Sus scrofa: one gene and its partners. The protein of the gene in region 1 binds, or shares a complex with, the protein of each later gene. Links are inferred from orthologs where the notes say so. Each region holds a gene or a part of one and is shown in the gene's direction. Other genes may lie near its edges.

What was found.
Region 2: CNOT11 (region 1) and CNOT7 share a complex: the UniProt entries of both Homo sapiens proteins name them as parts of the CCR4-NOT complex. The link is inferred for Sus scrofa from reciprocal best matches to the Homo sapiens genes CNOT11 and CNOT7.
Region 3: CNOT11 (region 1) and CNOT8 share a complex: the UniProt entries of both Homo sapiens proteins name them as parts of the CCR4-NOT complex. The link is inferred for Sus scrofa from reciprocal best matches to the Homo sapiens genes CNOT11 and CNOT8.

Annotation. Positions count from the first base shown.
Region 1 is NC_010445.4:53,074,812-53,078,459, reverse strand, and holds part of CNOT11 (CCR4-NOT transcription complex subunit 11), read left to right. Parts: intron 1-868; coding exon 869-1,033; intron 1,034-3,648. UniProt on the Homo sapiens protein: Component of the CCR4-NOT complex which is one of the major cellular mRNA deadenylases and is linked to various cellular processes including bulk mRNA degradation, miRNA-mediated repression, translational repression during translational initiation and general transcription regulation.
Region 2 is NC_010459.5:4,943,578-4,947,225, reverse strand, and holds part of CNOT7 (CCR4-NOT transcription complex subunit 7), read left to right. Parts: intron 1-1,326; coding exon 1,327-1,520; intron 1,521-3,648. UniProt on the Homo sapiens protein: Has 3'-5' poly(A) exoribonuclease activity for synthetic poly(A) RNA substrate. Its function seems to be partially redundant with that of CNOT8.
Region 3 is NC_010458.4:68,349,124-68,353,451, reverse strand, and holds the start of CNOT8 (CCR4-NOT transcription complex subunit 8), read left to right. Parts: upstream 1-1,431; 5' UTR 1,432-1,553; intron 1,554-3,290; exon of another isoform or gene 3,291-3,338; intron 3,339-3,350; exon of another isoform or gene 3,351-3,534; intron 3,535-4,328. UniProt on the Homo sapiens protein: Has 3'-5' poly(A) exoribonuclease activity for synthetic poly(A) RNA substrate. Its function seems to be partially redundant with that of CNOT7.

The DNA of each region.
Region 1 (3,648 bases):
TTAACCTTTGCAGGAATTGAGAAATGTTAGAAAACAAAATTCTTAGTAGTTATAAAAACCTTAAGTTTCATCGACATTGTCACAAATCATAGAATTTCAGTTGACATTTAGTCTGCCCTCTGTATCCTCAGGTTCTGCATCCTAGGATTCAGTCAGCCCCTGGTAGAAAATATTCAAGGGGCAAAAGAAATTCCAGAGAGTTCCAGAAAGCAAACCCTAAATTTTGGTGACTGTTTACATAGTATTTCCATTGTACTTATGTAGTATTTACATAGTACTTACAACTGTTTATGTATCATTTACATTGTATTAGGTATTGTGAGTAGTGATTATTTATAAAGTATAAGGGAGGATGCGTGCAGGTTCTATGCAAATATTACACCACTTTACTTAAGGGACCTAAGTACCTTTGGATTTTGCTGTTCACAGCAGGTCCTGGAACCGTTCCTATTTAATTACATTTGCATAAATAAATTTGATGAAATGAATCTTCAATTAAAATTTTGTCTTTAAAGAGGTGAGTTGGAGTTCCCGTCGTGGCTCAGTGGTTAACGAATCCGACTAGGAACCATGAGGTTTGCGGGTTCGATCCCTGGCCTTGCTCAGTGGGTTGAGGATGCAGACGCAGCTCTGATCCTGAGTTGCTGTGGCTCTGGCGTAGGCCGGCAGCTACAGCTCCCATTAGACTCCTAGCCTGGGAACCTCCATGTGCCACGGGAGCGGCCCTAGAAAAGGCAAAAAGACAAAAAAAATAAATAAAAATAAAGAGGTGAGTTGAGGTGGCAAGGAGCAAATGCTAATTTGAGCAGATTTAAGATAATTTTAAAAAATAACTATTAGAGAAATTGTTATACGTTTTTGTTTACAGGCTTTTTACCTCCTATAACTCCACCAGAAAAGTTTTTTCTTTCCCAGCTGATGCTGGCACCCCCAAGGGAACTCTTCAAAAAGACCCCTCGACAGATTGCCTTGATGGATGTCGGAAATATGGGCCAGTCCGTGGACATCAGCGGGCTTCAGCTGGCCTTGGCCGGTAAGGAGGGATCCTGCCTCAGGTGGTCTTGTGTGGTAGCATTAGGCCTTTTTTCTTGCGATGCTCCACTTAAAATGAAGGTCTTTATGCCAAAATGTATTTTCCATGAAAAGCATAGATTTGGTACTGGATCCTTGCTGTTATGGGATAGACATATCATTTTCAGTTTCCACTTGAATCGATTGCTTTCCTTATTTAAGAAAAATGCTGAATAAAACTTGGTCTATTTAAAATTTCCTGGATAACATTTCTACTCAAAGCAATCTGCAGATTCAGTGTAGTTTCTATCAAAATCCCAACGGTGTGTTTTGCAGAAATAGAAAATTCATATGGAACCTCAAGGGACCCTGAATAGTAAACAGTGCTTTCTTGGCTCCTTTGTTGAAAATCATTTGAATATATATGGGAGGGTTTATTTCTGGGCTCTCTTTTCTATGTCAGTTTGTCTTTATTCTAGTACCACATTTTCAGGCAGGGTAGGTCTTTTTTTTTTTTCTTACATGTAAAAAAGGTTTTATTTAGGGAGCTAGACACCAATCCAACAAGCCATACGGTAGCTTTTTTGAAATCAGTGTGTGAGATCTCCACTTTGTTCCTTTGTTTAAACATTTTGGCACCTTCTGTGTTACATATACAAGCAAATATAGAGGTGTTCTTGAAGCCCACTTGTGATGTGATGGAAAGTAACGGGACCAGAGTTCTTGTTGTGGCGCCTTAAGCAAAAGTTGAGATGCAAGGGTCTCATCGCCTAAGAGTGCTTCAATGGGGAAATTCTGATCTTTAGCCAGATCCATGAACCCATGACCTTGTGAATACATGAGCTTCAGGGTTAGTTTTGACAGCACACCCTCCTTCTTGGACTTCATGCACCTGTGACATTTGGCATTTTATATAAGGTGACATCTTTCAATAAACTTTTCCTTGGAGTATTCTCTTTTTTCCTTCAGGGTTGCATCCATGGAATATGGAAGTTCCCAGATCAGAGGTCATGTCGGAGCTGCAGCTGCCAGCCTACACCACAGCAGTGCCAAATCTGAGCCATGTCTGCAGTCCACACCAAAGCTTATGGCAACCCCAGATCCTTAACCCACTGAGCAAGGCCCGAATTGAAACCAAATTCTCATGGATACTATTTGGGTTCATTTCTGCTGAGCTACAATGGGAACTCCTCCTTGGAGTATTCTAAACCTCATTTTTAAACTACTAGTTTTTTTTTTTTTTTAATGGCCACATCCACAACACATGGAAGTTACCCTGCCAGAGTTCGAACCCTTGCTCCCAGCACCTCCAAGCTGCCGAAGTCATATTCTTTACCCCTGTGTCACAGTGGGAACTCCTAGATACTAATAATATAACAATTTTCTGTGACCAAGAGAAATCTTTTTCAGACTTTTAAGATTGAAGGTTGCATGGGTCTCATGGTTTGTGTAAAAGTGCTTATTAGCCACAATGCCAGATGCAGTCTATTTACAGACATAAAGCAACTGTTTCCTTAACCACAGGATGAAAACTGGTTGGAGAAATGATGAGCAATTTCAGTCCTACTTTTAGAAGCAGTGTATATTCTGAGGGTTCTGGCTTTGTATTCAATAAAGAATTGGATCTGATCTCCTTTTCAACTGTGATGACCGATCAGCCAATGCAAAACTTTTAAAGTTATGTCAAGCTGAGAAATAGGTGACCAGAATTAGGACGGAGAAGCCTGGCACAGCAGCTACCCTCTTAAGCAAAGAGCCCTAAGCTCTTTGCTGTCCTCTGCCCAGACTGAGGATGTCTTAATCCAGTCTTTTCACAAGTACTTAAGGAAAAAAAAAAAAAGTGCATGCACCATCTTCTCTGGCGCTGGCTACACAGCTGATCTCTACAGCAGCCGGCCTGAGATTCAGATGTCTTCATGGGATCCACGACCAAAGTGTATTTATGGCTGATGCGGTTGCATTTTCCTAATTCTCAGAAAACAAGCAGGCAAATTAAACAGAAATAAATACAAGGGGCAGAATTTTATCTTGTTAAAATTTCTGCAAAACACCTACGCTTGTACCACAGTGTGCCAATTTAAAAATGTTGTCTATATCTTGGTCAATAGTATGTTTCCTACCTTTTGTATTTCAGCAAAATGAGATAAAAAATTGCATTTTTCCTATGAAGTGAATAAGGTTAAACATCTTTTATGTCTCTAGCCATTTTTCCATTGGGTTAATGGTCTCTTAAAGCAGATCTGGAGCAGCCACCATTAAAATTGAGAAGAGCAATATTAGAGTTCCCCCTGTGGCTCAGTGGGTTAAGGATCTGGTGTTGCTGCAAGCTGCAGCATAGGCTGCAGATGCAGCTCGCATCTGGTGTTGCTGTGGCTATGGCATAGGTTGGCATCTGCAGCTCTGATTCCATCCCTAGCCTAGGAACTTCTGTGTTCTACATGTGTGGCTGTAAAAAGGGGAGGGGGAAGGAGGAATATTTTTAGGACCTAGAAGTTCCCTGTGCATTTCTCAATTACTGCCCTCCAGCCCCATTATTAACCTGAGTTTTCTGTTAATAGTTTGCTGTCTACTGTCTAGCCCTCCCTCTTGAGCATGCCTAGAGTTTAACCATGCTTGTTCCTGATATCTGTGTATGTG
Region 2 (3,648 bases), on another chromosome or scaffold:
TGTTTGTGCTTTTACATATGTTCAGTCATGATTACAAAGTGGCCTTGTCTGATGTTAAGAGTGTGAAATTGTTTATATTCAGCAGAAGAACCTTAGGACTTAGCTGTGAATGCCAGGTCTGCTCCAAGCAACACTAAGGCTTAATGTTAATACCAGATGGAGCTCCTGTTTGTCTTTTCTCAAACCAAAAAATTCTGATCTCCCGGTGAAGCATTGTTGATTTGCAGTTTTGTGTTTGCTTTTTAATCAGTGGATTTCCATGAACACACTGTGCTGTTAAGTGTTTCTAGTTTTGCATATACTATTCAGTCTGCCTAGACTGTCTACTCAGTTAATTATTTTGCTTCTTTGGCACTGTCTTGGTGAACCTGCTGTTTTCTAGATTATTAGCTTCAAGAAGGGATTAGTGTCTTAATCATCCTTTCTCCCCCCACCCCCAATACCTAGCCTAACACGTTGCATCCAATAAAGTGGTTGTTGAGTTGGACTGAATTTAGAAAAGTTTTAATTTCTTTACTGCTTCAGAGTAAGTTGTTATTTAGGTTTTGTTTTTAGTTTCCTAATTTGCATTTTAATATTAAACTGATGTATTATTAGTATATTGAACATAAGAAAATAAATATGCTTTTTTTGAGAGGAGCAGGTAGTTTGTTAAAATATAAATATTTGAGTGTACATAGATAATGTTTTATATAATAGATGTTCTCACCCATAATTAGAATTGAAGTTATTTTTTTCCAGTAGAAATTCATTCAGATAATTTATTTCTCAGGCGATAAGGAATGAAAAACATTAGAGATGCCATAACATTTTACAGGAATAAGTGGTGGCATGAAGTTTTTAAGGTCATGCTTTCTTTGGACTGTAAAAAGAATACTGTTTAGCACAAGAAATTAAGGTTTTGGTGTTTAGATAAACCTTATTTCAGAAAAGCAGTTGGAAAGTATGATGCATTTTCTATTCTTTTTAACCAGTTCTTCATTGATTTTAGCATTAGAATACTGTGAGCAACATGTATTTGTGATTTTTTTCCTCCTTCCTTGGGAATACTTAGTTGCATGTATTGTGTGTATCTTACACATAGTAATTTTTTTACTGATGCAGTATTTAAAGTAAGAAGTCATTTAAGTTTGGAGAGTTTTATTTTATGGTTCTAAAAAGTAATGCTCTTCCTAGTTAAAAGGTACTTTGTAATCGAATATGAATTGTGTAGAACATCACCTATATCAAGAGTCTTTGACTTGTACCCCAAATTAATTATTTTAATTATTTGTGGATTGTGCTTTCAACCATTTAGTAAATAATAAACCTTAAAATATTTTACAGGACACCGAGTTTCCAGGTGTGGTTGCAAGACCCATTGGAGAATTCAGGAGTAATGCCGACTATCAGTACCAACTATTGCGGTGTAATGTAGACTTGTTAAAGATAATTCAGCTAGGACTGACATTTATGAATGAGCAAGGAGAATACCCTCCAGGAACTTCAACTTGGCAGTTTAATTTTAAATTTAATTTGACGTAAGTGGGAAATAAATATAATTCAAACCTGTTTTAGTTTGATTTTAGAAGTGAATTTCCCTGAAATGTGACAAATGAAATTCTAATTAAATTTGGTATCGTTATCCTGGAAATACTTAAAACCTTAAATTTCACAAGGTGTTTTTGTTTTTTTGTTTTTTTTTTAAATGGGGCAAAAAAATCAGGATAAAGAAGACTTTTAAATTCTAATATTTTGAGTTTTAGAGATGTTACTTGAAAAGTACGACTGGCACTACTTTGAAATTTGGAAAATTGGGTATTGAAAGTATCAGTAGAATAAATAACCGTATCTTAATTTTGCTTTCAAACTTTGGAATTTGAAACATACATGTCTCTGTTGTAATAATTATTCTTCTTGTGAAGAGATTTTTATTATGGTCATACTTCAGTTTATGTGTAGATTACACATCAAAAGTGCTAAAATATTTTTTAGAAACTTGAGTGCCTTTTCCTTTCATATCAGTATTTTATAATGCTTATGTTTCTAGTCAGCCCATAGAACTTTTTATCAGTTATATATAGGAGGAGTAATAGTAGCCTTGAGCCTGGTATTTCTTTTAGAAACAATTCAGAATCTGAATTCTTACTCAAATCTGGATCAGAACCCAGTTTCCTTACTTATACTACTTCTATATCATTGGTAGGAGTAGTCTTGATAGTTTTGGGAAGTTTCCACTGATTGGGGGTGAGGGCAGATTGGTTACAAACTGTAAGATGGGAAATGTTTGATACATTTTGAGTATGTTACTATACTGCGCTATTCTTCTACTGCACAGCCTCTGCTTGTGTCATATGATCTAACATCTGATTTGAAAAATAGTAAAAGAAGTTGTAGGACAATGAATGGTGGTGCCATTGTAAGAACCTCCCATTCTCTGTGATGTGCTATTTAGCATATAAGATCTAAAGAAAAGCAGGGCTGATGATTTTAGATGGTCAATGGTGCAGTAGTATGGCTATGTTTAGCATGACTGTTTCACTCTGTTGGATTTAATAATGTACTTTCTGGAATTTCGTAAAGGGTACAAGGTACTCTCATCTATTCAAACTGACAGTAACTTTTATAAGTGTGTAGTTCTCAAAATTGCCTTTTCTCCTTTCCTGGAAAGATAACCCTTTTTAAGATTAGTATTCTACTATTTCCTTGGTTGCATGTTATTTTTTTTTTCAAAGTTCATCATTAGAACATTGTTCTTTACTAAGGTATTGTTGTGATCTCGGTACGTGAGTAGGAGGACACCGATCAGTGTTTTTCAGTTTTGGTTAAGTTGACATTTTTTTTTTTCTAGAAACATTTTTGTTTTAATAACTGCTTTGTTATTAAAATCTTTGAAAGATATTTTTTCTTATACAGAATACTGCTATAGTTTTGCTACCATTCATACTAACATTAATGTCTTAAGAGATGTTTAAGGATAGAGTGGAAAATATTTAACTAGAGAGGGTCAGTTGGAGGATAAAACCAGTACCATGTGATGTGGAGAAAGAACCGTGAACATGAACAGAATCTTGGATATTTCAAAGAAAGATGAAAATTGGCTTTTTCATTGATTGCCTAGACTGAATGTGTCAGCACCGGGGAACATAGTGTTGAGAAAAGTTGGTCATGGTCATTATAACCTAGTGTTATAGTTATGTCTTCTGTTTTCTTTTGCCCAAGTCCAAGAATTAGAATTGGTAGGTCCAGATCAGTGTTTGGGAATTCACTGTAAACTGGATTTGAAGTTGATATGTACATGAAAATTGAAGTAGAATATGATATCTGATGGTGAAACCCAGAGGTTTTTCTCTTGAGATTGTGACTTAAATGGTCCAGGTGTGGGACTTGGGAATCCATATTTTGCTAAGTTCTCTGAATGTTGGTTATCATTGGGCAAGTTTGGGAAATACTGGTTTAAATAATATGATACTCCCTGGTGACATAACATTGAACAAAACAGACAAAAATCATTGCCCTCTTGTAGCTTAAATTCTTATTTAAGTTTAGATATCCTAGCTTGACTTTTGAAAGGTAGTCTTCTAGGAATAAGGTTAGGAGAGCAGAGTTATTCTAGCAGAGTTCTTCATTTTAAGCAGTTTACTGTTTATCGGGGCCATTTGAAAGGCT
Region 3 (4,328 bases), on another chromosome or scaffold:
AAGATATATATATGATCTGATAAAAAAACAACATTAAATAAGGCGACTGACCCTGGCTAAGCTTGAGGCCAAGGGCACTGTAACAATGGTATTACTCAATTGATAGGCATCTAGGTATGTCAGCATTACTCTAAGGAATGTAAAGAAGTTTGAGGGGAGCGTTCCTGTCCTGGCTCAGCGGAAACAAAACTGAATAGCATCCATGAAGATGCAGGTTCGATCCCTCGCCTTGCTCAGTGGGTTAAAGATCTAGCGTTGCCAGGAGTTGTGGTATAGGTCGCAGGTGTGGCTCAGATCCTGCGTGGCTATGGCTGTGGTGTAGGCCAGCAACTACAGCTCTAATCTGACTCCTAGCCTGGGAAACTCCATATGCCAAGGGTGTGGCCAAAAAGAAAAAAAAAAAAAAAAGAATTTTGAGGGAGTTCTTGTTGTGGCTCAGCAATAACGAACCTGACTGGTATCCATGAGGTTGCAGGTTTGATCCCTGACCCTGCTCAGCTGGGTAAGGATCCAGTGTTGCTGTGAGCTGTCATGTAGGTCTCAGACTCAGCTCAGATCCTGAGTTGCTGTGGCTCTGGTGTAGGAAAAGAATATAGTTCCCACTTCCATATGCCAAAGATGCGGCTCTAAAAAGCAGAAAGAAAAAAAGAGTTTTGAAACTTGGGCTCATGGAGTGAGTGGTATTATATGCCTGGAGGCATTTACCTTCTGCCCCACTTTCAAAATATTTCAAACACAAATATGTATTTTAGCTTTTCCTACACATTTCCTAGCTTAAGAAATGTACCTTGTTAGATTTACTTAGAATTGGTAATAATAGAAAGGTTTGTCTAGCTAAGGATATCAGCCTGCCTGGTTCTTACAGAGACCCATTTTGCAACCAATGTTTCTGTTTTTTTATACCTATACTCCCCCAGCTGAGAAGATGTGTTCAAGCCTTACTTTCCATAGTCTGTAGTTCAAAAACAATCGTTTTGGAAGTTCCCTTGTGGCGCAGCAGGTTGAGTTAAGGATCCAGTGTCGCTGCATTTCCCTTAAAATGTGAAATTATATTATTGACTATGTTCTTTTCCACCTACCCTTTGATTCCTTTGGTGCTTCTCCCTGCCATCAGCGGTTTACACAATTGTTCCAGTTTTGCAATAGCCTAAGTGCAACATAAAATCCGTTGTTCCACAAATACTCCAAGTTCTCTGGAAATACAAGCGATCAGTGTGTTCATTTTACCTTTACCTTCAGTAACCTGAGAAATGAACACAGTTCTGGGAGAGGGGGTATTGTGGGGTAGGAGATGGAGTGTGTTTCCTGTTTGATTGTTTCAGCAGACACCAGGACCAGTGCTGCAGGAAAAAACAAGCTGTTCCTCACATGACTAGATCCCCAGAGGGCTATCCTCTCCTGAAAGTAATTACAAGTGTATGAAAGGACATTAGAAACTCACAGGACGGGGGAAAGGAGCGTCTTGCCTGCTTTCTCGGCACAGTATTGCTGAACAGAATGATTAAGTCTGCAGCACTAACACAGACTGGATATCTCACGGATGACAAACTGAGGCAGGCCAGAAACACTTCTTTTTTCTTTTCTTTTTTTGTCTTTTTGCCTTTTCTAGGGCCGCACCTGAGGCATATGGAGGTTCCCAGGCTAGGGGTCCAATCGGAGCTATAGCTGCTGGCCTACACCAGAGCCACAGCAACGCCGGATCTGAGCGGCGTCTGCAACCTACCCCACAGCTCACGGCAACGCTGGATCCTTAACCCACTGAGCAAGGCCAGGGATCGAACCCGCAACCTCATGGTTCGTTAACCAGTGAGCTGCGAAGGGAACGCCTAGGAACATTTCTTGGTTGAATACACTTATATATCTTCCTTAGTGCGGTGTGGTTTTCCTATGTATTAACACAGACATTGTGTGAGATTGTTACTCATATCTCTATGTTATGGGAGAAGGAAACAGACTCATCAGGAGGGGAGAAGAGGAGGCGTGTTCAGAAGGTGCATTTGATGGGTTGGGAGTGCACTTTCCTGGAGACTAGCCTTTGGGACTCTAGGTTAGAATTGCCGATGAAGGCTTGCCCTGCCTCCAGCCTGGGAAACGGATGTGGGGTTTTAGAGATTGCTTTTAGGAGGTAATGTTTAAACGTAGAAAGGCGCAGTGATTCGGGGGTGAATTTGAAATCCACTTATCAGCAGCCCCCTTCGAGTGGAGGCATCTAGGAGTGTAACTAGAGCCATGCTCTGCGGAGTCTGCTGCACCGTCCCTCAGGGATAGAGTGGAGTTTCTGAGCCGGTGACTGAGGGCGGCCTGGAATTGTCAGCTGTGTGCGGGAAACCAGCGCTTTGTCTTCTCTCCCACAGCTGGAGAACGCGAGGCAGCGCTGAACCTTCCCCGCCTGGTCAAATACTGCCAAGGACAGGTGTTGGCAAAGAGCTCTCTTCTCAAATAGGATTCACAGTGAATCGGAGGGAAGGTGGGGGCTAAAAGGATACTGCTAAGCGAGGCCGGGGCACCACTGCTCTCGTATGGAGGATCCCACGAGCTCGCCTAGCGTCCGCCAGGTCTCGGAGGTTCTCCGAAAGCGGGAGGGCGGCAGCGCTGGCCCAGTGCCTCCCCCACCGGGCAGCGTCTTCTTTGTTACCCGAGCAAACCCCAGCGGGCTGGCTGCTATGGTAATGCTGGCTGCCCAAACCGGCGAGGGTGGGAGGAGGGAGGCGGGCCTCGGCGGACGTCACCCAGACTCGGTTTGGGGGTGCTGGCCCACCCACAAACAATTGTTTGCCGGAAAGGAAGCTTAAGGCAGAAGTTTTGTAAGTGGGGCCGCGTTAGTACAGAAGGAAGGGGGTCAGGAGCTCCCCCAGCGATCCTGCCCCCAACTTCGCTCCCGGCAACGATTTTAACGGTCTTTCAAAGAAGGGAGGAAGGGACTTTGGTAATTTAGGGTATTTGGTCAGACGGGCCACACCCTTTGCTCTAGCAAGGCACGCCCCCCGCGGGGATGGGCTAGTTCTAGACCACGCCCCTTCCCGAGCGCGCGGAAGGGGAACCGACATGGAGGGGCGGTCCTCAAACTGAACTGAACCGACGCAACTAATCGCGCGTAGGCTTGGGGTGGGTGGAGGCAAGGTTCCGAAGGCCTCCTCCGAGGTTGCCCCGCCCCGCCTTTTTCGCGACTCGCTCTTGGTTTTGCGCCTGCGCGTCGCTCTCGCGAGCTCTCGCGCTGAGCGAACACGGACAGAGTCTCCGGGGGCGCGCAGAAGGGGAGGGGCGGAGAGGGTCAGGCGCGCGCGTTTGCTGTGACGCGAAGAGAGCAGGCGAGTCGGGCGGATCGGATGGATAGAGTGGTACGACCAGATTGTTTGGTGGGTGGTGCGTAAGGTCGCTCTGGGCACGAGGGCGCCCATCTCACTAGGCCGCTTGGTTCTAGGAGCGGATCCCGGGCAGGGTGAGAAGAACGTCGGGTCGGGGCAGCTGCTACAGCTCCCGGGGAGTCTGCCCCGCAGCCCGTCTGCCCGCGCTTCGCGGGCCCTGCGGGTCAGGGTAAGCGAGCCCGCGCTAATCAGAGAGGAGTGTGGGATGAGAGTGTGTGGGAGGCTTTAAGGGCCTGCGGGAGGAAGAGGAGTGTGAGTATGCGTGAGGGACTGGGTGTGTGAAAACAAAAAGAGGCCCATCGAATAATAGCCGTAATAACTACCACTGCCACACGGTAATATTCTAGTGATGTGTGCCCGGACTTTACAAAGCACCTTGTATGTTTCATTCTGTTAACCTCTACTGCAATCCTCCAAGATGTTTACCGTCATTAAACCCATTTTACAAGAAGGGAAAACTGAGGCACGAGAGAGGCTAAGTAACTTATGCAAAGCCAAACACAGCTAGTCCATGTCCTGATTTCGAATTTAGGTCTGTCTCAAAAAAAAAGGGGGTAGTTAAAAGGAGGTGGAGAGGGCTGAGGGTGGTTTTAAGTGGAAGAGTCATCCGGAAAGAGAATCGAAGATAACGGGAGACGGTGGGAGGGAGAGGACCAGAGTTTGGAACCTTGCGGGCCGCCTCCTTCCTCCTGGTTCTTGCACAAGTTTTCCTTTTCTTTGGCTTCGTGACCCAGAGCTCTTGGCTCTGTAGGAGCCAGCTCACAGGCCTGGGCCACATGAGTGGTTTTAAGAACTGGTTGAACTGCGGTTCCGTCCAGGGTGGTGTCTTGGGACACTGTTTGGCTGGGGCTCCTGGGGGCCGGGGAGGGGAGGATGGCGGCCCCCGCGGCGGCGTATGGAGTTGTACCCTCTTCTGAGCGGCTGCCATTTCTTCTAAAGCGCTGCTACTTCCTTTTCCATTTT